Callithrix jacchus: one gene and its partners. The protein of the gene in region 3 interacts with the protein of the main gene of each other region in a biochemical or structural test. Links are inferred from orthologs where the notes say so. Each region holds a gene or a part of one and is shown on either strand. Other genes may lie near its edges.

Evidence for each region.
Region 1: the proteins of MAGI1 (region 3) and NET1 form a complex in vitro, tested with the Homo sapiens proteins (3 studies listed by BioGRID and IntAct, with this or other methods). The link is inferred for Callithrix jacchus from reciprocal best matches to the Homo sapiens genes MAGI1 and NET1.
Region 2: the proteins of MAGI1 (region 3) and ADRB1 interact in a test that uses a peptide from one of them, tested with the Homo sapiens proteins (2 studies listed by IntAct). The link is inferred for Callithrix jacchus from reciprocal best matches to the Homo sapiens genes MAGI1 and ADRB1.
Region 4: the proteins of MAGI1 (region 3) and CYSLTR2 interact in a test that uses a peptide from one of them, tested with the Homo sapiens proteins (2 studies listed by IntAct, with this or other methods). The link is inferred for Callithrix jacchus from reciprocal best matches to the Homo sapiens genes MAGI1 and CYSLTR2.
Region 5: the proteins of MAGI1 (region 3) and CRHR1 form a complex in vitro, tested with the Homo sapiens proteins (2 studies listed by BioGRID and IntAct, with this or other methods). The link is inferred for Callithrix jacchus from reciprocal best matches to the Homo sapiens genes MAGI1 and CRHR1.
Region 6: the proteins of MAGI1 (region 3) and FCHSD2 form a complex in vitro, tested with the Homo sapiens proteins (2 studies listed by BioGRID and IntAct, with this or other methods). The link is inferred for Callithrix jacchus from reciprocal best matches to the Homo sapiens genes MAGI1 and FCHSD2.

The regions. Positions count from the first base shown.
Region 1 is NC_133508.1:8,367,048-8,371,299, reverse strand, and holds the start of NET1 (neuroepithelial cell-transforming gene 1 protein), read left to right. Parts: upstream 1-1,452; 5' UTR 1,453-1,589; coding exon 1,590-1,717; intron 1,718-4,252. UniProt on the Homo sapiens protein: Acts as a guanine nucleotide exchange factor (GEF) for RhoA GTPase. May be involved in activation of the SAPK/JNK pathway Stimulates genotoxic stress-induced RHOB activity in breast cancer cells leading to their cell death.
Region 2 is NC_133513.1:106,982,712-106,986,970, reverse strand, and holds the start of ADRB1 (beta-1 adrenergic receptor), read right to left. Parts: upstream 2,801-4,259; 5' UTR 2,532-2,800; coding exon 1,104-2,531; 3' UTR 1-1,103. UniProt on the Homo sapiens protein: Beta-adrenergic receptors mediate the catecholamine-induced activation of adenylate cyclase through the action of G proteins. This receptor binds epinephrine and norepinephrine with approximately equal affinity.
Region 3 is NC_133516.1:47,220,106-47,223,605, forward strand, and holds part of MAGI1 (membrane-associated guanylate kinase, WW and PDZ domain-containing protein 1), read right to left. Parts: intron 388-3,500; coding exon 205-387; intron 1-204. UniProt on the Homo sapiens protein: Plays a role in coupling actin fibers to cell junctions in endothelial cells, via its interaction with AMOTL2 and CDH5. May regulate acid-induced ASIC3 currents by modulating its expression at the cell surface.
Region 4 is NC_133502.1:67,304,573-67,308,773, forward strand, and holds the start of CYSLTR2 (cysteinyl leukotriene receptor 2), read right to left. Parts: upstream 2,801-4,201; 5' UTR 2,561-2,800; intron 1-2,560. UniProt on the Homo sapiens protein: Receptor for cysteinyl leukotrienes. The response is mediated via a G-protein that activates a phosphatidylinositol-calcium second messenger system.
Region 5 is NC_133506.1:86,534,854-86,539,054, forward strand, and holds the start of CRHR1 (corticotropin-releasing factor receptor 1), read left to right. Parts: upstream 1-1,401; 5' UTR 1,402-1,694; coding exon 1,695-1,727; intron 1,728-4,201.
Region 6 is NC_133511.1:68,060,848-68,064,347, forward strand, and holds part of FCHSD2 (F-BAR and double SH3 domains protein 2), read left to right. Parts: intron 1-711; coding exon 712-828; intron 829-3,091; coding exon 3,092-3,196; intron 3,197-3,500. UniProt on the Homo sapiens protein: Adapter protein that plays a role in endocytosis via clathrin-coated pits. Contributes to the internalization of cell surface receptors, such as integrin ITGB1 and transferrin receptor.

The DNA of each region.
Region 1 (4,252 bases), on a different chromosome or scaffold from region 3:
TGATTGGTTAGTTCAGATGAGCTCTGATTGTTCAATTCGGGTCAACTGTGACAATCCCAAAGGCCTGTGGGTGAGTGAGAGCAGGTGTGACCTCTAGTCAGCAGATAGCCCTTGGCCCTGTTTAAAATTTAGGCCCAGTTAGCCACTTGGGATCTGCCTTGAGGAATTGCTCTTTCAGGTTTATTTTTGCTCATAATCTAAATATCTGCATCCTATGAAGCTCTGTCTGGGTGGAGACCGACTCCCCAAATATTAAGAACATTTCTGTATTCTTACACTCTAACTGCTACAAAGCAATATTTTCTTCTTTAATTTTTGGAGACGGATGGGGAAGGTAGAACAGAAGTGGTTCTTCACTAAGGTCATCTTACTCCCTAATTTCTTACTCATTTCAAAATTAAAACATTTCCCCCTCATGTTATAAAAGGTACTGCAAGTTCAGTATGTCCTTATTAAAAAAAATTAAATGCAAAAAATAAAAATGTTGAATACCGAAAGTCTAACCATTTAGAGACATTTTAATACATTGACTTTTCCTTTGTATAATCTCTTGTCATTTATAACTTTGAATATACTGAATATACCTCTATGCTTCATGTTTTTATTTCAAATTACAGTATACCATTCTATTACACACTTCACACTTCATTTTTGTTGGCTGAAAATATTCTTCTCAGTAGATAAGCTGAGTTAGCAATTTCCCTATCATTGTTTATTTAGGATGTCTTAAATGTTTATATTATAAACAACATCATTAATAGCTTCATCTTTATATAATTTTAATTTTTAGTATAAATTTCTAGAAGTGGAATTATAGTGCCAAAGGAGAAGCTATTTTTAAAGTCTTTGACACATATTAAGCAATATTTAAAATCAAAGAATGTGTGATTTAACCATTTTTTTTTTACTTGAGGTAGTCCTTTATGTTGTGTCTTTTGATGACTTTTTACAAGCAGAGGATGAAGTCACTTCATTCTGTTTTGCTAGGGAGAGACTGTGTCTTCCTTATTGGAAGACATGAGGGCTCATAGTTAGATTTTGCTGGTTTCCTAGAGACAGCCCTGGGGAACATACCTGCATAATCTTTGGTAATTGGAAATATATTTCATATGGCCACGTGCACAATAATTTAGTGTGTATATGGCCAATAAACGAGCCTTGTTTACAGGTCATTACTTTCAATCTCCCTTCTCCCCAAATGCTGAGAAAGAACTGGTGACTTAAAATGCTTCCAGTCCCTTTGCCTTGGCCTGTAGTGAAAGTCCTAATGGACAATGAAGGAGGAACCGGACCTTGGGGACTGAGGGATGCGGTAAAGAGTTAAGGGTAAGTTTTCCTAGATTTTTCTCGTGGCAGGTGTATCCCGGTAGCGGCGGAGGGGCGGGACTTCACGTCTCCTAGGAACCGCTGCGCGCTCACTGATTGGCTGATCGCTGCGCAGCCGCCATTTTCAAATCCCCGGATGACGGCGGTGGCGGCGGCTGTGCGCTGACAGGCGCTTTCTGCCTGGCAGAGGCTGGCGGGCATCGTGCCCGTCCCTGCCGGTCTCCCGGGCACCCGGCCACCGCCCCACCCCCCTCCTCTGTGCCATGGAGCCCGAGCTGGCGGCTCAGAAGCAGCCTCGGCCGCGGAGGCGAAGCCGCCGGGCCTCTGGGCTCAGCACGGAGGGAGCGGCGGGGCCTTCAGCCGACACCTCCGGGCCGGAGCCGGACGGGAGGTGAGTGTGGGGGAGGGGAAGGCCGGACGGGAGGCGAGGGCAGGGGCGAGGTGAGGGCCGGCCGGGAGTTGGGTGTGGGGGTGGTGAGGGGCAGGGGGAGGCGAGGGCCGCTGGAAGGTGAGGGGGGAAATGGGGAGGTGAATGCAGCGTGTGTGTCGGGGTACCTGGGCCGCTGGAGGGAAGGGTGGCCCAGGCCTGAGTGACGGTGTGCCTGGTCTTGGACTGAGATGGGACCTGAGACCCCAAATTGCGATTTCCCTGCCCGGTGGGAAAGGGACTGCCTTGAGTCTCCTCTCCTCCTGACTGCTCCTCTGGGGAGACGGGGAACGCCACAATGGTTTTGTTCTCCACACACAACTGGCTGTAGGCTGGAGTTCCCAGGTACCTTTGCTCAGACCGAAACTGTCAGGGAGCATCACGAGAATGGGCTCCATGTCCTGAGAAAGGAAAGGCTAGGGGATGAGTTGGCTTCGGAATATGGGTCATGAGGTGCCTATGGGAGAGTTCGTCACAACCAGCCTCGTGTTTTTTCTTTTTGCTTTTGTGGAAGTACACATTGAAGTGAGACTGTATGACTCGTGTTTGGCTCAGTGAAATTTCGCAGAGCGAACCCACCTGTGTAAATCAGTTATACATCTGGGAATTGTCAGCAAAAGACTTGAAATCGAAGGTCATCTTAGACTGTGAGTATAAAGGACGAAGGGTTTGAGGACCAAACCCTGAGGCTCTCCCGGCGTTTAAAAGCCGAGGTAATAATGCTGGAGGTAGCTGTTGAGTTAGGAGGAAGAAATCAAGTGAGAATAGGATCCAGGAGGCCAAATGGAGAAAGGATTCCGAGAAAGAGGACGTGGGGAGCTGTGTCAGGTGTTCCTGATAGGTCAAATAAAAGGATTAAGTAAAAATGAGGATTAGGCTAGATGAGGAATTGAAATTAAATTTGGTAATGAAAAGAGAGTATTGATTGTAGATGGTTTCCAAGAGTGGTTAGAATATCGAACTTAGAGTGCTTTGCAACAGGTTGAGAAGAGAATGTTCGATTTGTTCAGGAAATAATGCGAGTGCCGACACTAGGAATATGGAAATGGAAAATACTGTTCTTACTATTTAAGATTTATAATCTAGTGGGAAGAAAGATAAGTAGGTTAATTATTATAACGTGTTTTAAGAGTTATTGTAGTGGTGTACACAGAATGCGGTACATTAGAGAGAACACTTAATCCTGGCTGGAGAGAACAGGAAATGATTTCCTATTGCAATCCCTGAGTTTGAGGACCAGTTTAGAGAGCAGATGTAAATGGGTGATTTTCAGGCAGAGAAGCAGCTTGTAGAAAGGCCCTGAAGCAAATGGGTCTGATGAGTTCTGGGTGTATATTCTGTTTTATTACTGTATTAATACTAGTTGTATAGAGGAGGGAGACCAATATAGGGATAAGGAGGAGGTAGTCATGAGCGATTATGCTAAAGAGGTGAAAGCCACATCAGGAAGGGGCCTTGTATGCCATCACAGAGTTTGGGGGTTTATCTTCACGGTAATGCGGAAATACTGAAAGGCTTTAAACAAGCCAATGGCATGATGTATTTGCATTTTAAAAGATCAGTTTGTCTTCCATGAGAAAAATAAGCAACATTTTGGAGTCATCTCACCATTCATATTTTACGAAAACTGTTCCCCAAAAACATGCTCATATACATACAAATTTCAGGAGATTTGTGGATCCAGCTGTGTATACCAAATAAAAATTTTCAAGTTTAGAAGGTGAATTGGTAGGAAATCAGTCTGCAGTAGTCTAAATGAAAAAATGACTGTTCAAATCTGATAGCTGGCAGTGGGATTGGTGAAGAGAAGTTTCACTGTGATACCCCTGTGCCATTACCATACTGTATCGATTACTGTTGCTTTGTATAATAAGTTTTGAAATTGGGAAATATGAGTCCTCCTACTTTGTTCTTTTTTTCTCAAGATTGTTGTGGCTATCCTGGGTCTCCTGCAATTCTATGTGAATTTTAGAATCAGCTTAACAGTTTTTACAAAAGAATCCAATGGGATTCTAATAGGGATTGCATTACATCTTGTAGATCATTTTCAAATGTATTCCCCTCTACACAGGGTTAAGTAGTCTCATCCATGGACAAAGGATGTTTTTCCAATTATTTAGATCTTTAATTATTTTCAACAGTGTTTTGTAATTTTCAGGGTATAGTTTTGCACATTTTGCTAAATGTATTCCTATTTTGTTCTTTTTGATGCTGTTGTAAATGGAATTAATTTCTTTTGAAATGGGAAAAGTTCCCTTGTCCCCCTTGCAGGGCATGCACTGGGGGTATGCTCGCTGCTTCAGTGCCCTGCTGTTCAAACCTCTAGGGGAACAAATATACAAGCAGGCAGTAGGACTCCAACCCCATGGGGGTGTCTGGGGGTGAATGTTTACAGCTGAAGCCCCAGTGGGCGTTTGTTACAGGGTACTCTTAGTTTAGCCATCTATAGGTGGCTTGTGTTCATCAGCTCAATTAGACCCCGGCCTCATTGCAAGGACA
Region 2 (4,259 bases), on a different chromosome or scaffold from region 3:
ATTTATAATATGGATACAGTTACAGTACCATGATAAAGGAGTATAAAAAGGTATTTTCCCAATAAATCATTAGCTCTATAACATACTAGACAACAGAAGTAGAGCTTGAATTTTATTTTAGTTTTTAAGATCTGCCCACCACTTCCCCAGTTAAAAAATATTTAACTTCTTTTTGTGCAAGTAATGTTTTCTGTGGAATTTGTAATTCCTAACACTGTGCAAAAATGGCATTTTGAACCACTCCTTTTTTTGTTTTTGTTTTTATCCACATGTGCAGTAATCAAAACTGTCTCTCTCTCTCTTTTCATGTCCTGTCTTAAATTGACAAGAGTCACATGTCACAGAGAGAGGCTCTGCGCCTGGTCCTTCCAACTAGTATTGATACATAAATAAGCTGTTTAATATAAACAAGTCTTTCTATCTGCTGTGCAAATGCACAGTGTGAGGTAGAAATCCCGTAGCCTGACCATCCAGGCGCGCGGGGGATCAGAGGGTTTGCCCTACACAAGGAAAGCAAATTGGGGCTTGTTCCAAGAAGAGCTTAACATTTCTTGAAACGTGATTTTTTTTTTTTTTTTGCATCCATCCTTTTCGCTTTCATAACAGCGGAAACCATTACTTAGGAATTAAAATGAAATTTCTCTGGAAAGCAAAAGGAAATAAATATGCCTTGATAAACTGTCATTCTCCTCTCTCTGGCTGGTAGACTGCCCCTGTTCCTGGGACAGGGTCGGGAGCCAGGTTGATCGGATTTTAATCCCCTCCTAATGCTTCTTCTCCCTTCCCCTGCCCACCCAGCTTCCACTCCCATCCTCGTGGAGTCAAAAACCACCTGGGGGGAAAAATCTAAAGATGCATCACAGGCACACACAAAAGAAGGCCGGACCACAAACAGAAGAAGAAGGAAAACAACCCAAGGAACATCAGCAAGCCACTCTCCCACCCCTCCCCAAACTTTCCTTTTTGTGCAACGGTCCGTGGCTTTTCTGTTTGCCTTGGATGATTCAGACGAGGTTTGTGGGCTTCGAGTTCACCTGCTTTCGGTCTTGAGTAAACACAGATCTCCGAGATCCCCCGGGAAGCCGTTCCGGGGCGCCGGGCCCCTACACCTTGGATTCCGAGGCGAAGCCGGGGCGGCACGGCTCGTCCAGGCTCGAGTCGCTGTCCGCCGCCGCCCCGCCGTTGCAGCCGGCCCAGGGCTCCAGCAGGCGCGCGGGCGGCGTGGCCCCGACGACATCGTCGTCGTCGTCGTCCGACGCGGCCCCGGGCGACGGCGGAGGACCGGGCCGGGCCAGGCAGCCCGAGGCGCGCGGCCGGTCCCCGTGGGCCGCGTGGCGCCGGCTGGCGGCCCTGCGCGCGCAGCGGAGCAGGCGCTGGAAGGCCTTGCGGAAGTCCGGGCTGCGGCAGTATATGATGGGGTTGAAGGCCGAGTTGGCGTAGCCCAGCCAGTTGAAGAAGACGAAGAGGCGATCAGGCACCAGCTCGCGGTGGAAGGCCTTCACCACGTTGGCCAGGAAGAAGGGCAGCCAGCAGAGCGTGAACACTCCCATGATGATGCCCAGCGTCTTGAGCGCCTTCTGCTCGCGCAGGGCCACGAGGCGCGAGGGCCGCCGCTTGCCCGCGCGCCCGTTGGCCAGGGGGGCGGCGGCGGCGGCGGCGTTGGGGCGCGGGGGTCCTGGCGCTGACGGCGGCGCGGGCGCGGGGGCGGGTGAGGGCGGCCGCTCCGGGCCGCCGAGGAACCGGCGCTCGCAGCTGTCGATCTTCTTCACCTGCTTCTGGGCCTCGCGGAACACCCGCAGGTACACGAAGGCCATGATGCATAGGGGCACGTAGAAGGAGACCACGGACGAGGCGATGGCGTAGGCCCGGTTGGTGACGAAGTCGCAGCACTTGGGGTCGTTGTAGCAGCGGCGCGCCTCGTCGCTCTCCGCCCGCCACCAGTGCATGAGGATGGGCAAGAAGGACACCAGCGCCGAGATGGCCCACACGGTGCACACGAGGCCCCTTGCCCGCGCGCGCGTCAGCAGGCTCTGGTAGCGGAAGGGCGACGTGATGGCGAGGTAGCGGTCCAGGGCGATGACACACAGGGTCTCGATGCTGGCCGTCACGCACAGCACGTCTACCGAGGTCCACAGCTCGCAGAAGAAGGAGCCGTACTCCCAGCCGCCCCACACCACGATGGTGGCCCCGAACGGCACCACCAGCAGCCCCATGACCAGGTCGGCGCTGGCCAAGGACATGATGAAGAGGTTGGTGAGCGTCTGCAGCCGCGGCGTCTTGGCGATGGCCACAATCACCAGCACGTTGCCCGCCACGATGAGCAGCACGATAAGCGCCATCAGCAGGCCCATACCCGCCGTCCACTGCTGCGACAGCGGCTCGAGGCCTTCGCTGGCGGGAGGCAGCAGCGAGGCGGGCGGCGACGCGGGCACCAGCAACCGCGCCGCAGTGGCCGCGCCGTCGGGGAGCGGCGCAGCCGACGACAGGTTGGCGGGATCGGAGGCGCCCAGGACGAGCGCCCCCGCGCCCATGCCGAGCTGCGGAGGCCGGGGGCGGTGGGTGTGGCGGGGCTGGGCAGTGGCTAGGGAACACCCCAGGAGCCCGGGCGGCGGGGTGCGCCGAGGGAGGTCGCGGCCGGGTCAGGACAGCCACGGCGCGGGGCCGGAGGCATGGGCGCCGGGCGCCTTTCCCGCCGGATCCGAGCGCTGTCGCTGTCGCCGCCGCCGCCGCCGCCGCTGCCGCTGCTGGAAGAGCCGCCGGGACCTCAGCATGTTTCTGAGCGCGCCGGGCCCGCAGCTCCGGCACCCAGCACCCACCCCACCCCGCTCCCACCTCCCCAAGCCAACCCCCGGGGCCTCGCGTCAGGTTCCTGTAGCCAATCGGGGCAAAGGCACGCCCCCGTCGGGTCTGCCCCCCCCAACTCCCCGCACCCCACTCCAGTTGGCAATTGAGCCGCTCCTGAGAGTCCGGAGCTGATCGCGGAGCTAGTGCCTCCCGTGCGGCCCGCGGGTTCCTGCGGACGCGCCCCTTCCTGCGCCCGCTGGTTCCAGGTCCCTGTTCCGCGCACCCCCTCCCGCGCCCGGCTCCCCCGAGGGGCCCCGCCCCCTCCCGCGGCCCCCAAGTGCTCCCGCAGCCGCTGCTGCGCCCCGTTTGCCTCCCGCGCCAGGCTCCCTCCTGCGCCCCTGCTTCCCCAGCATCCCCTCGACCTGCAGTCCTGGGGGTTCCCTGCGGCAGAGAGCGCTCGCTCCTTGGAGCGAGGAGGGGACCTTGGTGTTCTGGAAGCGCCAGAGCGCCTGGGACTGCTTGCCCGCCGGGCATGAAGGAGTTTGCCCTGCGAGCTTGGTTGTGGCATGGGGCAGCCTAGCAGGGTGTGTGTAAAACCCTTCCCCCGTCAAGAGGCGACCCAGCCAGCCTGTGTCGTGACAGCTTGGGGGATCAGAGGTGGGTGTTAGTGGTTAGAGGAAACTTCCCAGCAGAGCGGGTTGCTGGAGCCAAGGGCGCATCTGTTCAGAATGCTCTCTGGGCGCTGTTCTTGCAGGGATCTTCTGTTGAACCTCAAGTGCAGTGGAAGTGGAAAGGATGCGAAGGTTTGTGCATCTAACAGCTAACGCTGAGGACCCGCTGGCATCGTATTCACTCCTCAGTCCCAGCTAATGAATGTGTGAGCAAGATGCAACGGTGTGTGCTCATGATAAAGGGAGAGGCTTAGGGAGACAGAAACGTTGAGATACAGAGCAAACGGTACGACTGCGAGGGGAAAAAAAACATGCTTAATTACATTTTAGACTTGTCAGTGATAACACCTGTATTTTGTGTTTTATTACTCTTGTGATTTTGTAATTTGAGCTAGGTCAGTACCAACACAAAGGTACTGTCAGTTTCGGCTGACGTCATGAACTACCATTTCAGATTCCTTGGTCTGCTGCTTGTTTTCTCCTTTTCCCAAGTTCCCAGATTCTCAAAACTCTGGGATTAGTTTTGGAGGGATGAGACAAGAACACATATAAATACTCCAGAGGATTAAAATCCGAAAGCATTTAAAGTTGTATCTGTGTTTTTTTGAGTTGGCAAATGAATCGCTTTGAAATGAGTGAGTTGTTAACCTGGCGAAATGGATTATATTGGGGTGGGGGCACAGCCATGAATATTCAGTGCGGCAGGACTGCAAGCCCCTTCTCTCATTTGGCCCCTGTAGTGTCCTCAGTTCAGGCTCGAAAAACAAAATATCTTTAATTGGGTCCTTGAGAAGTAAACAGCTT
Region 3 (3,500 bases):
TCCCAAAGTTAAAATGATTTCACAGGTTTTAATCTGTCCCAAGGGATGGATTTACTGGCTCATTCTCAAGGTGTTTTAAGGTATAAACATGTGCAATCACGACATTGTTTGGTCTTGCTCAAACCAAACAACATGATTGCACACATTTGTGTTCTGGGTTGGAGTCTTACCACACAGAATACACTAAGGCCATGTGGACGCTACCTGTTTCCATCTTGCCATCCAATGCAGCAGGACCATCTAGGACCAAGCTCTTGATCTGGAGAAACTCATCAGGTTCATCCCCTCCAACCACAGTGAAGCCAAAGCCACGACTGCTTTTCCGCAGCTTCGTGTGAATGAATTTGCCTTTCAACTCAGAAGGGTTTCGTGTAAAAAAGGGTTTGCCTGCATTAAAACAAGAAAAGCATAAAGAATGTCACCATCAGTGAAAAGGAGAATTAAACAAGATTTGAGACAACATATAGATCATTCTTCAAGCTTATGCTCTAGAGCCTTTGGGCACATAGCATCTTAAGAAAGTCCTCTCTTAATTTCAGGAATTAGGATGTTCCTAGGCCCCACTGTTGAAGGAGAGAGGTATGTCAACTCCAGGGTCTAAAAGAAACTACAAGAGAGGGATGATATTAGACCCTGTCAGGTGACACACCTCTTGGTTTCCATTCATGCAGTTTGACAGGAATTGAGCTGTCATAAGCTCCTTCACAGAAAATGGAATTGGTCTGTTTTATGTCTTTTGTTTTGTTTTATCTTTTATTTTGCAATATGGCTTCCAATGTGCTGCTTTGGGCCTCGCTTCCACTTGAAAAACCAACTGAGCAGCAAAACCTTTAGTTTTAATCAAACAGAAAATCCAGGCTAAAAATGCACAGATAATACCAGAAAACACAGTATGGTCACAAATAATAATTCGAGAAAAATGTAGAATGACTATTTTCAAAATTAAGGGTCATCACTTTGAATTGAATTCTAAATTCTATTGATTTTTTCCTATTAATTTGTACCTTTTATTAAATTTGTGAAACAGCCAACACATGTCCATGGCTAAGATTTAGTGTTTATAACAAGCTTTGGATATTTGTTTAAAAAACACAAACCGGCTCATGTAATCCCAGCACTCTGGGAAGCCAAGGTGGGCAGATCACGAAGTCAGGAATTCAAGACCAGCCTGGCAAACATGGTGAAATCTCATTTCTACTAAAAATACAAAACTTAGCTGGGCATGGTGGCAGGTGCCTGTAATCCCAGCTACTCAGGAGGTTGAGGCAGGAGAATTGCTTGAACCCAGGAGGTGGAGGTTTCAGTAAGCTAAGATGGCACCATTACACTCCAGCCTGGGTGACAGAGAAGAAAGGAAAGAAAGGGAAGGGAGGGGGGAGGGAGGGAGGGAGGGAGGGAGGGAGGGAGGGAGGGAGGGAGGGAGGGAGGGAAGGAAGGAAGGAAGGAAGGAAGGAAGGAAGGAAGGAAGGAAGGAGAGAAAACGAAAGAAAAGAAGGAAGGAAGGAAGGAAGAAGAAAGAAAGAGAAAGAGAGAGAAAGAGAAAGAAAGAAGGAAGGAGGAAAAAAGAAGAAAGAAAGAAAGAAAGAAAAGAAAGAAAGAAAGAAAGAGAAAGAAAGACCGAAAAACAACCAAACCAAATCAAACAAAACCAAACAAAATAAACAACCCCGAAATCCTAAAGTAGTTACTAACAGTAGCTATACAGCTCCAAATTCAGCTGTCTTATTTAAAATATATTAGGCTGGGCATGGTGGCTTATGCCTGTAATCATAGCACTTTGGGTGGTCAAAGCAGGGGGACCACCTGAGGTCAGGAATTTGAGACCAAACTGGGCAACATGGTAAAACCCCATCTCTACTGAAAAAAAAAAAAAAAATTAGCTAGGTGAGCTGGTGAGTGCCTGTAAACCCAGCTACTTGGGAGGCGAAGGCAAGAGAATCACTTGAACCCAGGAGGTGGAGGTTGCAGTGAGCCAAGTCTCGGTATTGTACTCCAGCCTGGGCAACAAGAGCAAAACTCTATCTCAAAAAGTAAATAAACAAAATAAATTAAATTAACAGATAGAGATACAGCTAAATAATTTCCAAACATGAAACCGAAGGTTTTATTGAGTTTTCTTGATACATTCACAAATAACATTTTGAACATAAACCAAAATGTTTTCTTTTGGGATTTACTAGGCACATATCTGTAACTGAGAAATTTACTGGAACTTCTCTGATTATCCCAAGTAGTAGACCTAATTTCATGAGCAGATTCTTTCATCTCTCCTAACTTTACTTACTTCTTATACCCTGTCCTTGCCACACACAGCTTCTCCACCTGCCCTGTTTCTTTTCTATTCAAAAATGTTATCCAAAACAAAAAGAGAGAAAGAAGGAGACATTAGTCCCCTACACCCCTGCAGTAGGAGCCTGGGACCTAGGAAGAAAAGTTATTTTGGTTAGTTATATCTAAAAGGCCTTAAAAGGTCTCTGGGCATGCATACAATTTTTAATTGCATATTTAAAAAGTTTCTGGCTCTTGCAAAAAAGGCTCTTTTAAATTGCCTGCAATCAGAGGTCCTTTCGCTAACCTGCTCTTTAGCCCAGTCCCAAAGCTTGTTGGAAGCTTGACAAACTACAGCCCTGTCACAGTAGTGAAAGAAAGGCAAGACTTAGAAGGATTCGCCATGCAGTCATCTACCAAGGCACTGGGAGGGTGGTGTCACTTCCACCAAGAGCTTTGGGGAGACCACTGCCAAGACAATTATCAGATGGAAATTGGTAAGATAACCCCCAAATTTACTTTAGGAGGAGGAGGGTAAGTGGCCTACACTCTTGCAGTAGGGGCTACTAGGGCATTCCAGGACTTTGAAAGGAAACACATTTTTGTTATGCAGAGATATCATCAACAGCCATTACCTTTCCAGAAAGACCTTCCCTAACCACCTTACTAAAAATTGCAGTACCTCCAACGGTCCCAATCCCTTTTTCCTGCTTTATTTTTGTCCTTAGCTCTTACCACCTTCCAAAAGAATATGCATCTTACCTATTTTTCCTACTGTCCCCCACTCCTATGCATGAAGGGCACTGCCTATGCAGGTACATAAAACCACTAGAATGTTAGTTCCATGGGAATTTTTCTATGTATATCTAGCATCTAGAATATGGTCTGGTACATTTCATATGCTCCAAAAATTTTTGTTGAGGGAGTGAATGAATGAACAAATAAAAGCACATAGAAATGAAATTTAACATGTTTTTGGGAAGGCTGAAAAGCGGTGTTTGGGTGTTAGAGCTTTTCACTTTTATTATAGGCTAAGTTAGAAAATGTGAAAATGTGCCTGGCAGTTTATGTAATTTAAAAAAATACATTAGCATATTTTGTGCTGAGAATGTTAACTTAATAAAGACATGAGCAGAGTTTTGAAATTATACAACTGACTTCCTTTTTCAATGTTTAACAAGGGAGGGAAGATCAGAAGATTTCACATTTATGCACATTTTATTACTCTTTAC
Region 4 (4,201 bases), on a different chromosome or scaffold from region 3:
TTCACCAAGATCGAAACGAAGGAGAAAATATTAAGGGCAGCCAGAGAGAAAGATCAAGTTACCCATAAAGGTAAGCCTATTAGGCTTACAGCAGATCTCTCAACGGAAACCCTACAAGCTAGAAGAGAGTGGGGGCCAATATTCAATATACTTAATCAACAGAACTTTCAGCCCAGAATTTCATATCCTGCCAATTTAAGCTTTACATTTGAAGGAAAAATAAAAATTTTTAGGAACAAGCAAGTACTCAGAGATTTTATTACCACCAGGCCTGCTTTACAAGAACTTCTAAAAGAAGCACTATACACAGAAAGGAACAACCAGTATGACCCTTTCTAAAAATACACCAAAAAGTAAAGAGCATTAACATAAAGAAGAATTTTTATCAATGAAAGGACAAAATAGCCAGTTAATATCAAACGGCAGCAACCCTAAATTTAAATCGACCAAACCTCCCAATCAAAAGATACAGACAAAATCTAACGGTATATCCAAAGATATACATAGACTCAAAATAAAGGGTTGGAAAAAAAAAAAACGTACCAACCAAATGGAGAGCAAAAATAAATAAATAAGCAGGAGTTGCAATTTTCACATTTGACAAAATAGATTTCAAAGCTACAAGGATACAAGGATAAAAGGATTAATGTAATAATAAGAGATCTTAACACCCAGATACATAAGACCCATAATGAGATTTAGATTCAACGAGACAGAAAATTGATAACGATATCCGGGACTGGAACTAAGATCCAGAACAAATAAACTCAATAGGGCTCTCCATTTTAAACACACAAAATATTCATTATCCACAAAATCTAACGATATATCTAAAGATATACAAAGACTCAAAACAAGGGGATGGAAAAAAGCTCACCAACCAAATGGAGAGCAAAAATAAATAAATAAAAAGCAGGAGTTGCAATTCTCACACTTAATAAAATAGATTTCAAAGCTACAAGGATGCAAGGGTAAAAGGATTAATACAACAATAAGAGATCTTAACACCCAGATACATAAGACACATAATGAGATTTAGATTCAACGAGACAACAAATTGATAAGATATCCAGGACTTGAACTCAGAACCAGAACAAATAAACACAACAGAGGTCTCCATTTTAAACACATAAAATATGCATTAACCACTTTAAACACTCAAAATATTGATCGGCCATTATTGAAACCCATTTTAGGAATGAAGTAATATTCCTTTTTCCCTCTTTTTCTTTTTTTCCCCTTCTTTTTCTCTTTTTCCCTAAAAAAAAATAAATAAATAAATAAATAAAAATTAAAAAAAAAAAAAAAGAAATACTGACATCAATATTAAAAGCAAAAAAAAAAAAAAAGAAAAAGAGGGCCAGGCACAGCCTGTAATCCCAGTACTTTGGGAGGCTGAGGTCCGTGGATCACCTGAGGTCAGGAGTTTGAGACCAGGCTGACCAAGATGGTGAAATCTCATCTCTACTAAAAATACAAAAATTAGATGGGCAAGGTGGCAGGTGCCTGTAATAACAGCTACTTGGGAGGCTGAGGCAGGAGAATTGCTAGACCCGGGAGGCAGAGGTCGCAATGAGTCGAGATCGTGCCACTGCATTTTAGCCTGGGGGACAGGGTGAGACTCTGTCTCAAAAGAAAAGAAAAAGGAAAAAGAACGCTACAGTAACACCCTAATTGCTTTCCTGTTTCTACTCTCACTGCTCTACTGCGCTACAGTGATGCTTTTAAAGAGCAGGTCATATCGTTCATTCCCTTGCTTAAAAACCCTGCAGTGACTTCCCACGATTCTCAAAATAAACACCTCTCTTCCTTAAAGAGTAATAAATAACTTTTATAAACTTTGATGAGTTAATCACATAAACAAATGGATAGCATTCATGGCTGGTAAAAAGGAGCACACACATTATTCAAAATAAAAATCTTTACCATGATCTGCAAAAGCCCAACCTGATTGGCCCTTCTTATGCATGTATGACCCTAGCCACATGGCCTTCCCTGCTGCTGGTCCAAGTCCCTGTGCTGAGATGCCTTTGCCCTGTCTTCCTCACTCCACTTAACTCTCTACTTAAGGGCCACTACCTCCCACAAGACTTCACTGGCCTCCCTTTCTAAAATAGTTATCCACACATATACTCCCCCTAACTCTGCTGTAGTCTGTTTTGTAGAGCTTATCACTAGCACTACTCTTTTTTTTTTTTCCCCCGAGATGGAGTCTTGCTCTGTTGCCCAGGCTGGAGTGCAGTGGCACGATCTCAGCTCACGGCAACCTCCACCTCCTGGGTTCCAGCAGTTCTCCTGCCTCAGCCTCCTGAGTAGCGGGGACTACAGGCACGCGCCACCATGCCCAGCTAATTTTTGTATTTTTAGTAGAGACGGGGTTTCACCATATTGGCCAGGCTGGTCTCAAACTCGTGACCTTTTAATCTGCCCACCTCACCCTTCCAAAGTGCTAGGATTATAGGCCTGAGCCACCATGCCCTGCCCACCATCACTACTTTTTTGTAGCATTAAATATTCATTTCTAAATTGTCAGATCCCCATACTATACATTTGTACTCACTTCTCAGACTCCTTTGTGTTTGAGGTCTGGGCTGGAATGTGGCCACCTCAGAAGAGCTGGTAAAGCCTGCAGCTGTCCTCGTCCTCTTCCCACTCCCAGCTCCCTCCCACGTATGAGGAGCTCCACACTTAGGCATGGGGAATTCTAGCCCTCATGTCCTTGTCCCCAATGCCTGAAAGCAGCTGCTCTTGGCCACCTGTAGGACGTAGGGCTATACAAACTTTATGCTCTGATGCAACTAGGGAACAGCTCATAGCATTTGAGGACATTTGGCTGGGGACTTCCCAAGTATCCAGAGCACAGTACAAACAAGGAAGTGTCCCTTAGCCCCACAGACTCCCAGCCCCCTCGGGTCAAGAAAGGGGTTGGATGAGGATCAGGGAGAGCTCTAATCTGTGTCTGGTCCTCATTCAGCCCTTTTCTGTCCCAAGGGGCTAGTTCTCTCTGGTCAAAGAATGGCACCAGGACAATGTGTTCTTATGCCCACGTCTAGGAGTAATTTGGCCTTCATAGTCCAACCCCAGATTTCCTTTCAAGTTCTATTCCTATCAGTTGCTTTCCCACTTTCTTCCCATGCTCCAGTCAAACTGAACTATTTGCTTATCTCTAAAAATAAAAAGCACTATTTTGGGGCCTGAGAGGAGCACAAAATGGTAAATAAGGGAACTGGCTGTATTGGAAAGAAATTAGCAAATGCTTTCTTGAAAATAAACAAGGCAGGCTTGGTTTTTTTGCTTGTTTGTAGTTCGTTCGCTGGAACTGAACAGACCTAAACAAACAGGGAGTCCAGTCCCTTCATGACACCCATGAAGAAACAGAGGCACAGACTTGTTGAGCAGCGTGGTCATGGCACACAGCTAGTCACTGTCACACCAGGCCTGGAACCCAGAGCAGGGTCTGGAGAGCTCCCTAACCATCTCCAACACAGCCCTACATACGCTGTTCTCCTTGTGCCTTCTGCTGCCCCATGGCCATGGGAAAGACAGGCCCTGGTTCTTGCTATCCCCTCACCCAAGATCTCCTTCAACTCTGAAGACCACTGATTCTAGCGCCCTTCCCCATCCCTTTCAAGCCCAACTCTAGCCTAGTGCCAAGAGCCAAACCTCACCCCATCTCTAGTTCCCACAAGTGCCCCAAATATTGAAACTTGGGGGAAATAAAAAGTAGGTCTTCCTGGAAAGCTCCAAACTGCTGCTGCTGTGTCAATAAAAAGGAAGAGGCCCTGGATCTATTTCCTGCATGTCCCAGAGTTCTCCAACAATGACTATCACCAGGACGATGTAGATCTTACCTTCACACTCCAGAACTGGGGGTGAGGGTGAGGGTTTTCTGTGCAGCTTCTTCATGCAGCTGTGGAGAGGGGCTGGGACCAAGGTTGCTCCTCTGAAGACAAGGTTCTTCCTGGGCCTGGGATCCTATTTCTAATATTTTATTTATCTCAATTAGAACTCACGGAACTCACAGTCTACACATATTATATTATCATTCTCATCTTTAGGGGGCAAAAAGCTTGAAACAACATTTAATTCTACAAGCAATCACCATAGATATTCATTCTCCTCCAATAAAAGCCCAATTGGCTGGCACAGTGGCTCACACCTGTAATTCCAGCACTTTGAGAGGCCAAGATAGGCAAATCAT
Region 5 (4,201 bases), on a different chromosome or scaffold from region 3:
CCTCCTAAAATGACTCCAGCCCCAAATGAAGGCCAGTGGACCCATGAACATGCTGGCTCTTGCCCACTGTGCTGAGAAGTGGGTGGGAGGGAGTAGTAGGGTGGGCATAGCAGTGCACAGGATGCAGGGCAGGTGGGTTCAGTTTGATTTCAAAGCCGATTGCCCGCGCCTCAGGTGCTTTGGTGTACCCTATAAGGATTGCATAGGCCAGGCAGCCTAGGCTCTGCGGGTGAAGATTTCTCTACCTCCCAGTGACTCCTCTTCTCCCTTATCAGCTCTGATAGGAGAGAGGAAGAGGGAAGAGGACGTCAAAAGTTCTGTTCATCCGGAAGGGCTGGGAGTTACTTCCTGGGATGGGGAGCTCGTGAGCCAATCCAGAAGACGACCACGGGGTCTGGCGGGAGCCCCAACGCTGCCCTGAAGACTCGGCCGGGAGGGGGCGCTGTGGCCTCCCCACCCCCAGCCCGCAGGCTCCTAGCCGGGTTCGCCGCGCTGCAACGCAATCCGCACCTGGCTTTACCCAGGGCTGCGTTCAGTGCCCACTTGTCCTGCAGGGCACCGCCGTCTCCCTTTCATCTTGGGGCTCCCGGGTCCAAAAGGTTCCCAGATCCAGCCCCTTGCCTGAACCAAAGTGGGCAGGCACTCAGATTGTAAGATGAACGAATGAACGAAGGAACGAACTAATGAATAAGGGCTCATCCTGCAGAACGTTCGCGTCTCAGCGCGCACTAGGCACGTCAATGCCAAAGGTGCTGGGAGTCGGGCTCGGAGCCCGGCGCGGCTGGAGTGGGGGCGGCGAGGAGCTCCCGCTAGCCAGCTGCAGGGCGGGAACTGCCCAAACGCAGGTCGCAGCTTCCCCGGGTTCTGCGGCGGCTTCGCTCAGTGGGGACCGCCCTGTTCCACCGCCACCAATAGCCTCGCCCTCATAAATTCACCTGAGCACCCCCGCCCAAGTGCCCCCGGCTCCCCTGGACTTCCCAGGCCCGGACCTCTGCCCGGCGGGAGGTAGGAGGCTGCATCCTCTCCTGCCACCCCCTCGCCCATCCCGGGCTTCTCCCCGGGCTGCGGCGGCCGCCACCGCCGCAAGCACGCCCGGAGGACTGCCGCAAACCCGGGCGTAGGGAAAGGGGATCCTGGCGGCGGGGCGCAGGCGGCGGGCCAGGGGAAGAGGAGGGAGCGGGGAAGGAGCCGAGGGGCGAGGGGCAGGGAGGGAGCCGAGGGGCGAGGCGCGGAGGAGGGACCGAAGGGGAGGAGAGAGGAGGGGAGGGGAGAGGGAGAGGGAGAGGGAGAGGGAGAGGGAGAGGGAGAGGGAGAGGGAGAGGGAGAGGGAGAGGCGGGGGGGAGGGGGAGGGGAAAGGGGAGGGAGGGGACAAGCTGGGCGAGGGGGCGGGGAGCCAAGGCGAGGAGCCGCGCGGACCTTGCGGGAGGCGGCAGGGGCTAGGCTGGCAAGAAGCGGCCTCCCGCCGGGCTGAGTCGGGAAACGGCGGCCAGACTTCCCCGGGAAGGGGCGAGCGAGAGCCGGCCGGGCCGGGCTGCGGGGACGGGGAGCGCGGAACCGGGCGCCTCCTCACGGGGCAGCCACCGAGGAGTCCGGCCGCCCACCGCGTGCTGCCCGAGCCCGCAGCAGCCCGCCGGCCCCTCTGGGATGCCTGGGGGACCCGGGCGTTCAGGACAGTAACCGAGCGAGCCGGAGGATGGGACGGCACCCGCAGCTCCGGCTTGTCAAGGTAAGAGCCCGCCGGCCCGCCCTCCAGCGCGAGCGCCCCCAGCCCCGGGCAGACGCGGGACAGGCCGGGCTGTGGGTGCGATGGAGGAGGGGGCGCCAGGAGAGCGGCAGTCAGGTCGGGGAAGGCTGGGCTCTGGGGCAGCCTAACTCTCTGGACCTTTGGAGCCAGGGTTTGGTGGGCAGGGGGAGACTCAGGTGAGAAAAGAAATCGTGGCTGAGCCGCCGGGATGTTGGCGGAGGAGGGGTCTGCCCACTCGGGTAGCCGTTTCCGCGCCAAGAATCGCTCTAGGCTTTGGGGCAGACGCTGGGTTCCGCCTCCCACGCCCTCCCTGCAGACCCCGGCCCCAGGACGGGAGGCTCTGAAGCGGGGTTCCCCGCCTCGCCCCAGCACCTTCTCATAGCTCCCCGACTCCGCCCGCCCCCGCCCCAGTCCCGGGAGCGCATCCTGCTCCTTCTCCTCGGCTGCAAGCTGCGAGTCCAGGGAGATTAATGCGGCCCGCGCCTGCGAACCCTTGATCAATATCGCAGTCTCGGGGGAGGGGACCGTGCCTCCGGCGGCGGTTACCATTCCCTCGCCGCGGCCCGGGAGCGCAACACTCGCTCTCCGAGCCTGGGCACCGAGATCCCCGCGCTGCGCAGCCTACCCTGCGACGCGGATCGGTCGCTGGAGTTTAGGAAAGTCGCCAGACCTTACGTCCAGCGTCTGCCCGCTGAACTTCGTGGGCGGCGGGGGCGGCCCAAGGGCCGTGTGCGCCCGGGAAGGGCCGGGAGGCCGGCAGTCCGGCCCGCCCCTAGTGCCAGGCGTCACTTGCAGCCCCGAGCGCTTTCCACAGCGTTCTGGTCTTGCAAGGTGTAGGCGCGCCCGCTGCAGCCGGCCGGAGGGGCGGGTGGGCCTCTGCGCGGCTGCCGGGAAACCCCGTGCCGCACCCGCCTGGGCACGGCCTCGCCCGGGGCTCGGGATCCCTCAGGGTCCGCTTCAGCCACAGACGTAGACGCCAGCCTGACCCGGTTCGGGGCATTCAAAGCGATTACATTAAAGAGACTTTGGTGGATTTGGGGGAGGGGTGCGGATTGGCGGAATTTCATTTTTCCATCAGTTATTAAACCAACTGTACGTATAGCGGCTTACCAAGTGGTTTGAGTTAAAGCACCAAGATTTTTTAATGAGACGTTACAAGTTACTGAGATTTTTCTCTAATCCTGCCCCTCCCCAGATATTTATAAGTTGATTCTTGAAATGACTGAGGGTTGGTCTCATTGAACCCACATCCCCTCCCCTGTCTGTTACCTGAGGGCTAGAGATGAACTCAGAGATTATTTTCTGGGCGTTCAAGGAGACAGACGGATGAGGAAGGTGAAGAAAAACATCCAGAGAGGTCGAATAGGTGGCACTGAATGGGAATATTTTCCAAAAGTCTTGTGTGTATCGAAGCCTGGTCTAAATGCACAAACCAGTTAGACCAAATTCAGTCTTTTGAACGGATTCAAAGGATTGAAATGTGGGTGTTTTTGTTTTTTTTTTTTTTCCAGTTTACACTGAAATAGATCAATGTTCTTTTTCTGGCCTTCTTTAGAGTTGTGTGCAAATCTCTGTTTAGAATGATCATGTTTTTCTTTAAAAAAAAAAAAAGGGGAGTCTTTTTATTTCTGTTATTCCTACCAGATAGTGGGGTGTGTGCTCTTTATGACTGGCCTAATAAACTCAGTCAGCACTCAGTAAATACCAAATGAATGAGGCTGAGCCAGGGAATGGCCAGCGAATGCTGGTTTCAAAGCTGGTTTCTATTAAATAGTTGCTTTTTTCTTTTACTTATGTAGCATGTACAATTCACTGGGCATTATTCTACCTGCTTTGCAAATATTAAGTCATTGAGTCCTCCTAACAGCCCTAGAAAGTAGGAATTATTCCTGAGACACAGAGAGGCTAAGTAACTGGTTCAGGGTCACAGAGCCAGTGAATAGTGAAGTCAGAATTCAAACCTGGGCACTCTGATATAAGGCTTTGTTTTGTTTGCTTTTACCAGAAAATATCTTTTTTTTTTTCTTTTTTTTGGGATAGGGTCTCACTCTGTCACCCAGGTTGGAGTGCAGTGGTGTGATCTCAGCTCACTGAAGCCTCAACCTCCCTGGGCTCCAGTAATCCTCCCACCTCAACCTCCAGAATAGCTGGAACCATAGGCATGCACCACCACACCCAGCTAATTTTTGTATTTTTTATAGAAGTGGGGTTTCACCATATTGCCCAGGCTGGTCTCCAAACTCCTGGGCTCAAGCGATCAGCCAACCTCGGACTCCCAAAATTCTAGGATTACAGACGCGAGCCACTGTGCCCAGCCATTACCAGAAAATATGTTAAGCCCCTTAAACCTCACCCTAGATCTTAGCCAGATGAGAGCCCAGGTAGTTTTGCCAGCATGAGAGTATAAATCTAGGGACTTAGTGTTCATCCCAAATCCAGCGCTGTCCCCAGCAAGT
Region 6 (3,500 bases), on a different chromosome or scaffold from region 3:
TTGCACAATAGGAGTTAGCTATTACTATTGTTTAGATTTTGCGGTTTGTTCTTTGTAAATCAGAATTATAGCATTTTAGAGCTAGAAGAAACCCTTGGTGATCATTTGATCTAGCACCCTTATCTTTCATATGTATACATTAAATCCTAGAGAAAGGGCAAAAGTTGGCTTGAAGTTTGGTGGCAGGTTGATGATGGACCTCTAACTTGATGAAATCCAGTATCCTGGGGCAGTGGGGTGGTACAGGATTGTGTTGCTGTTATTTTATTGTTTTGTTCTTACTTCTCTTTAATGATTCTTTACTCACATTGAAACTATTAGATTGTTTCCATTTTTATTTATGCAATGATTTTAGCATCATAGTAGATTGGCATGAATACTTTTTTCTTCTTTGCTTACCTTAACTAGCTTCCTTCCCCTTCAGAAAGATAATTCCATCACACCCAAAAGGGTAAGTCCACAGTATTAGAAATTATGCTTTTGTGTTCAACAGTATAAGACAAAAAGCTTATTGGTCTTTAATGGTTTCTTACTGTCATCTTACTCTTCTGGTAACTTTCTGTGACATTAAGACATTGCTTCCAGCAGTAGTGGAGCATGCCTCATGTTTTGAGTGCTGATTAAGTGAAGGCCCTCTGGTCCATCTACAAAGCAGTAGTGGTTGTAATAAGGTTAGCAGTATTTTTATCTTTGTTCTCTCTTGTGTTGTAGAGCCGACAATTAGAATCAGAAACTGGGACCACAGAGGAGCACAGTCTAAACAAGGAAGCTCGAAAATGGGCCACACGTGTGGCACGTGAGCATAAAAACATTGTTCACCAACAACGGGTAAGTATAAGAGAAAGTCCTAGTTACGTCCACCTTAAGCCAAATGTCAAACCAGTTTAAGAAGCTCAATTTTAGGCTGGTGTGGTGGCACAAGCCTGTAATCCCAGCACTTTGGGAGGCCGAGACGGGTGGATCACGAGGTCAAGAGATCCGGACCATCCTGGTCACCATGGTGAAACCCCGTCTCTACTAAAAATACAAAAAATTAGCTGGGCGTGGTGGTGCACGCCTGTAATCCTGGCTATTCGGGAGGCTGAGTCAGGAAAATTGCCTGAACCCAGGAGGTGGAGGTTGCGGTGAGCCCGCCATTGCACTCCAGCCTGGGTAACAAGAGCAAAACTCCGTCTCAAAAAAAAAAAAAAGAAGCTGAGCTTTATTAAATGTGAAAAATACCCTATATGTGTTTTGTTGTTGTTGTTGTTGTTGTTTTTGAGACAGAGTCTTGCTCTGTCACCCAGGTTGAAAGGCAGTGGAGTGAACATGGCTTACTGCAGCTTCAACCTCCTGGGCAGAAGCAGTCCTCACACTTAAGCCTCCCAAGTAGCTGGGACCACAGGCACATGCTACCATGCCTAGCTAATTGTTTTCAGGTGTTTTGTAGAGATAGGATCTTGCCATGTTTCCCAGGCTAGTCTCAAACTTCTTTGCTCAAGCATTATATGAGTTTTGTCAACACTCGGCAGTATGCTGGCAACTCTACTCATGTTGGATATCCTTAAGCCCTCCATCAGCAATACAATTATTCACCTGTTTACCATAAAATTGCCAAAGAAAAGCTGTGATAGTGTATTATGGGCAGGGGAAGAGACATATGTTGAATGTAGGTTTTTGTCCCTCAAAACATATTTTTTGAAGACACAATTATAGGTTTTATGAGAATATATGTTTGGCTGGGCACAGTGGCTCATGCCTGTAATCCCAGAACTTTGGGAGGCTGAGGCAGGTGGATTGCTTGAGCCAGGAATTTGAGACCAGCCTAGGCAACATGGCAAAAACCCGGTCTCTACAAAAAAAAATTTAAAAATTAGCCAGGCATGGTGGCACACACCTACCTTCCCACCTACTCAGCAGGTTGAGGTTGGGGAGGATTCTTGAGCCCAGAATGTTGGAGGTTACAGTGAGATAAGATCATGCCACTGCACTCCAGCCTGAGTGACAGAGCAAGACCCTGTCTCAAAAAAAAAAAAAAAAAGAAAACAAAACAAAGAAAGAAAATATATCTCTAAGACTAAACTCTAAGCACAAAGAAATTATTTTAAGCATAGTACTTTTTTTCTCTATTTCATTTATTGATACCTATATCCTTCTCATTCTTTGCCTTCACATCCTACTTCCTAAAAGAATTGCCTATGCTTATTCTATAGAATCTCACCGCCCACTTTCTTTTCACCCCATTACATTTGAGCTTTCCTTTCCTTTCCTTCCCCTATACTGCTTCATAATCTAAGCTTACCGAAATCACCAATGAATTCTGTGTTGCTAGCTTCAAAATGGACACTTTGATTTCTCATATTTCTTAATCTGTCAGCAGTTTCATCACAATTGACAACTCTCTTTGTCTTAAAATGATATCTTCTCTAGTCATCCACGATTCAACCTGGCTTTGTCCTGGCTTTCCTTCTGCCTTTCTGGCCATACTTAGATTTTTTTTTATAGGTTCCTCTTTCTCCATCCAACAATTAAATATTCAGTTTCTCAGATTTCTGTACTTGGTTATCTTGTTTTCTTATTCTTTACCCTCATATATGCAGTCTCGATCACTTCCATGGTTTTGCTTTACCAACAAATCATAAATTAATATCTCCAACATTGGGCCTTGCTACTGCTATATATCCATATAGTATCTTGCCTGTTTTGACATCTTCTTTTCACTATCTGACAGGCATCTCAGATGCAATGTAGCACTTATGTAATGCTGCTTAACAAACCACCTCAAACAAGAGGGTTTTTACATTATGATTATGTCTCACTAATCTGAGTATGGGGTGGCCTCAGCTTAGCAGTTTTCCCTTGGGATCTCTTATGTGGCAGCAATCAGATAGTGGCTGGTCCTGGTTATCTCACAGGCTTCCCCACTGAAGGGACTCTTTGCAGTAATTTTGCTACTAGTAAGTCTATAATTATTTCAAAATGTTCAAAAATAAATAAATGAAAAAAATATACGGTTACTAGTCACTAAAGCCTTCTGAATTACCTAAATAGTCACTTAAGGAAGATGAAAAGTAAAAAACAGTCATCATTATTGTCCCATTTTCTTTAATAGGTTCTAAATGATCTGGAGTGTCATGGAGTTGCTGTATCAGAACAAAGCCGAGCAGAGCTGGAACAGAAAATAGATGAAGCTAGAGAAAATATTCGTAAAGCAGAGGTAAAGTGGCAGCTAATTGTGGCATTTTGCCCAGATCTAATGACACTGTCACAGCTGTGATATGCACCTTTAAAACTGACTTTCTTCATACATTGAGATGAAGGTGATTCACTGTCTTCATTCATGTCCACAGTAGTATTTGTTAAGTACCTGCTCTATGGAAGGCAGTGCCTATAACACAAAGACGCTGAACGTGCTGTAAAGTTTACAGTTACGTAACATTAAACACAGATTTAAGTCACAATGAAGACACTAATTTTAAAATTTCTACAAGGTACATAATAAACCACAGAAATTAATGGTA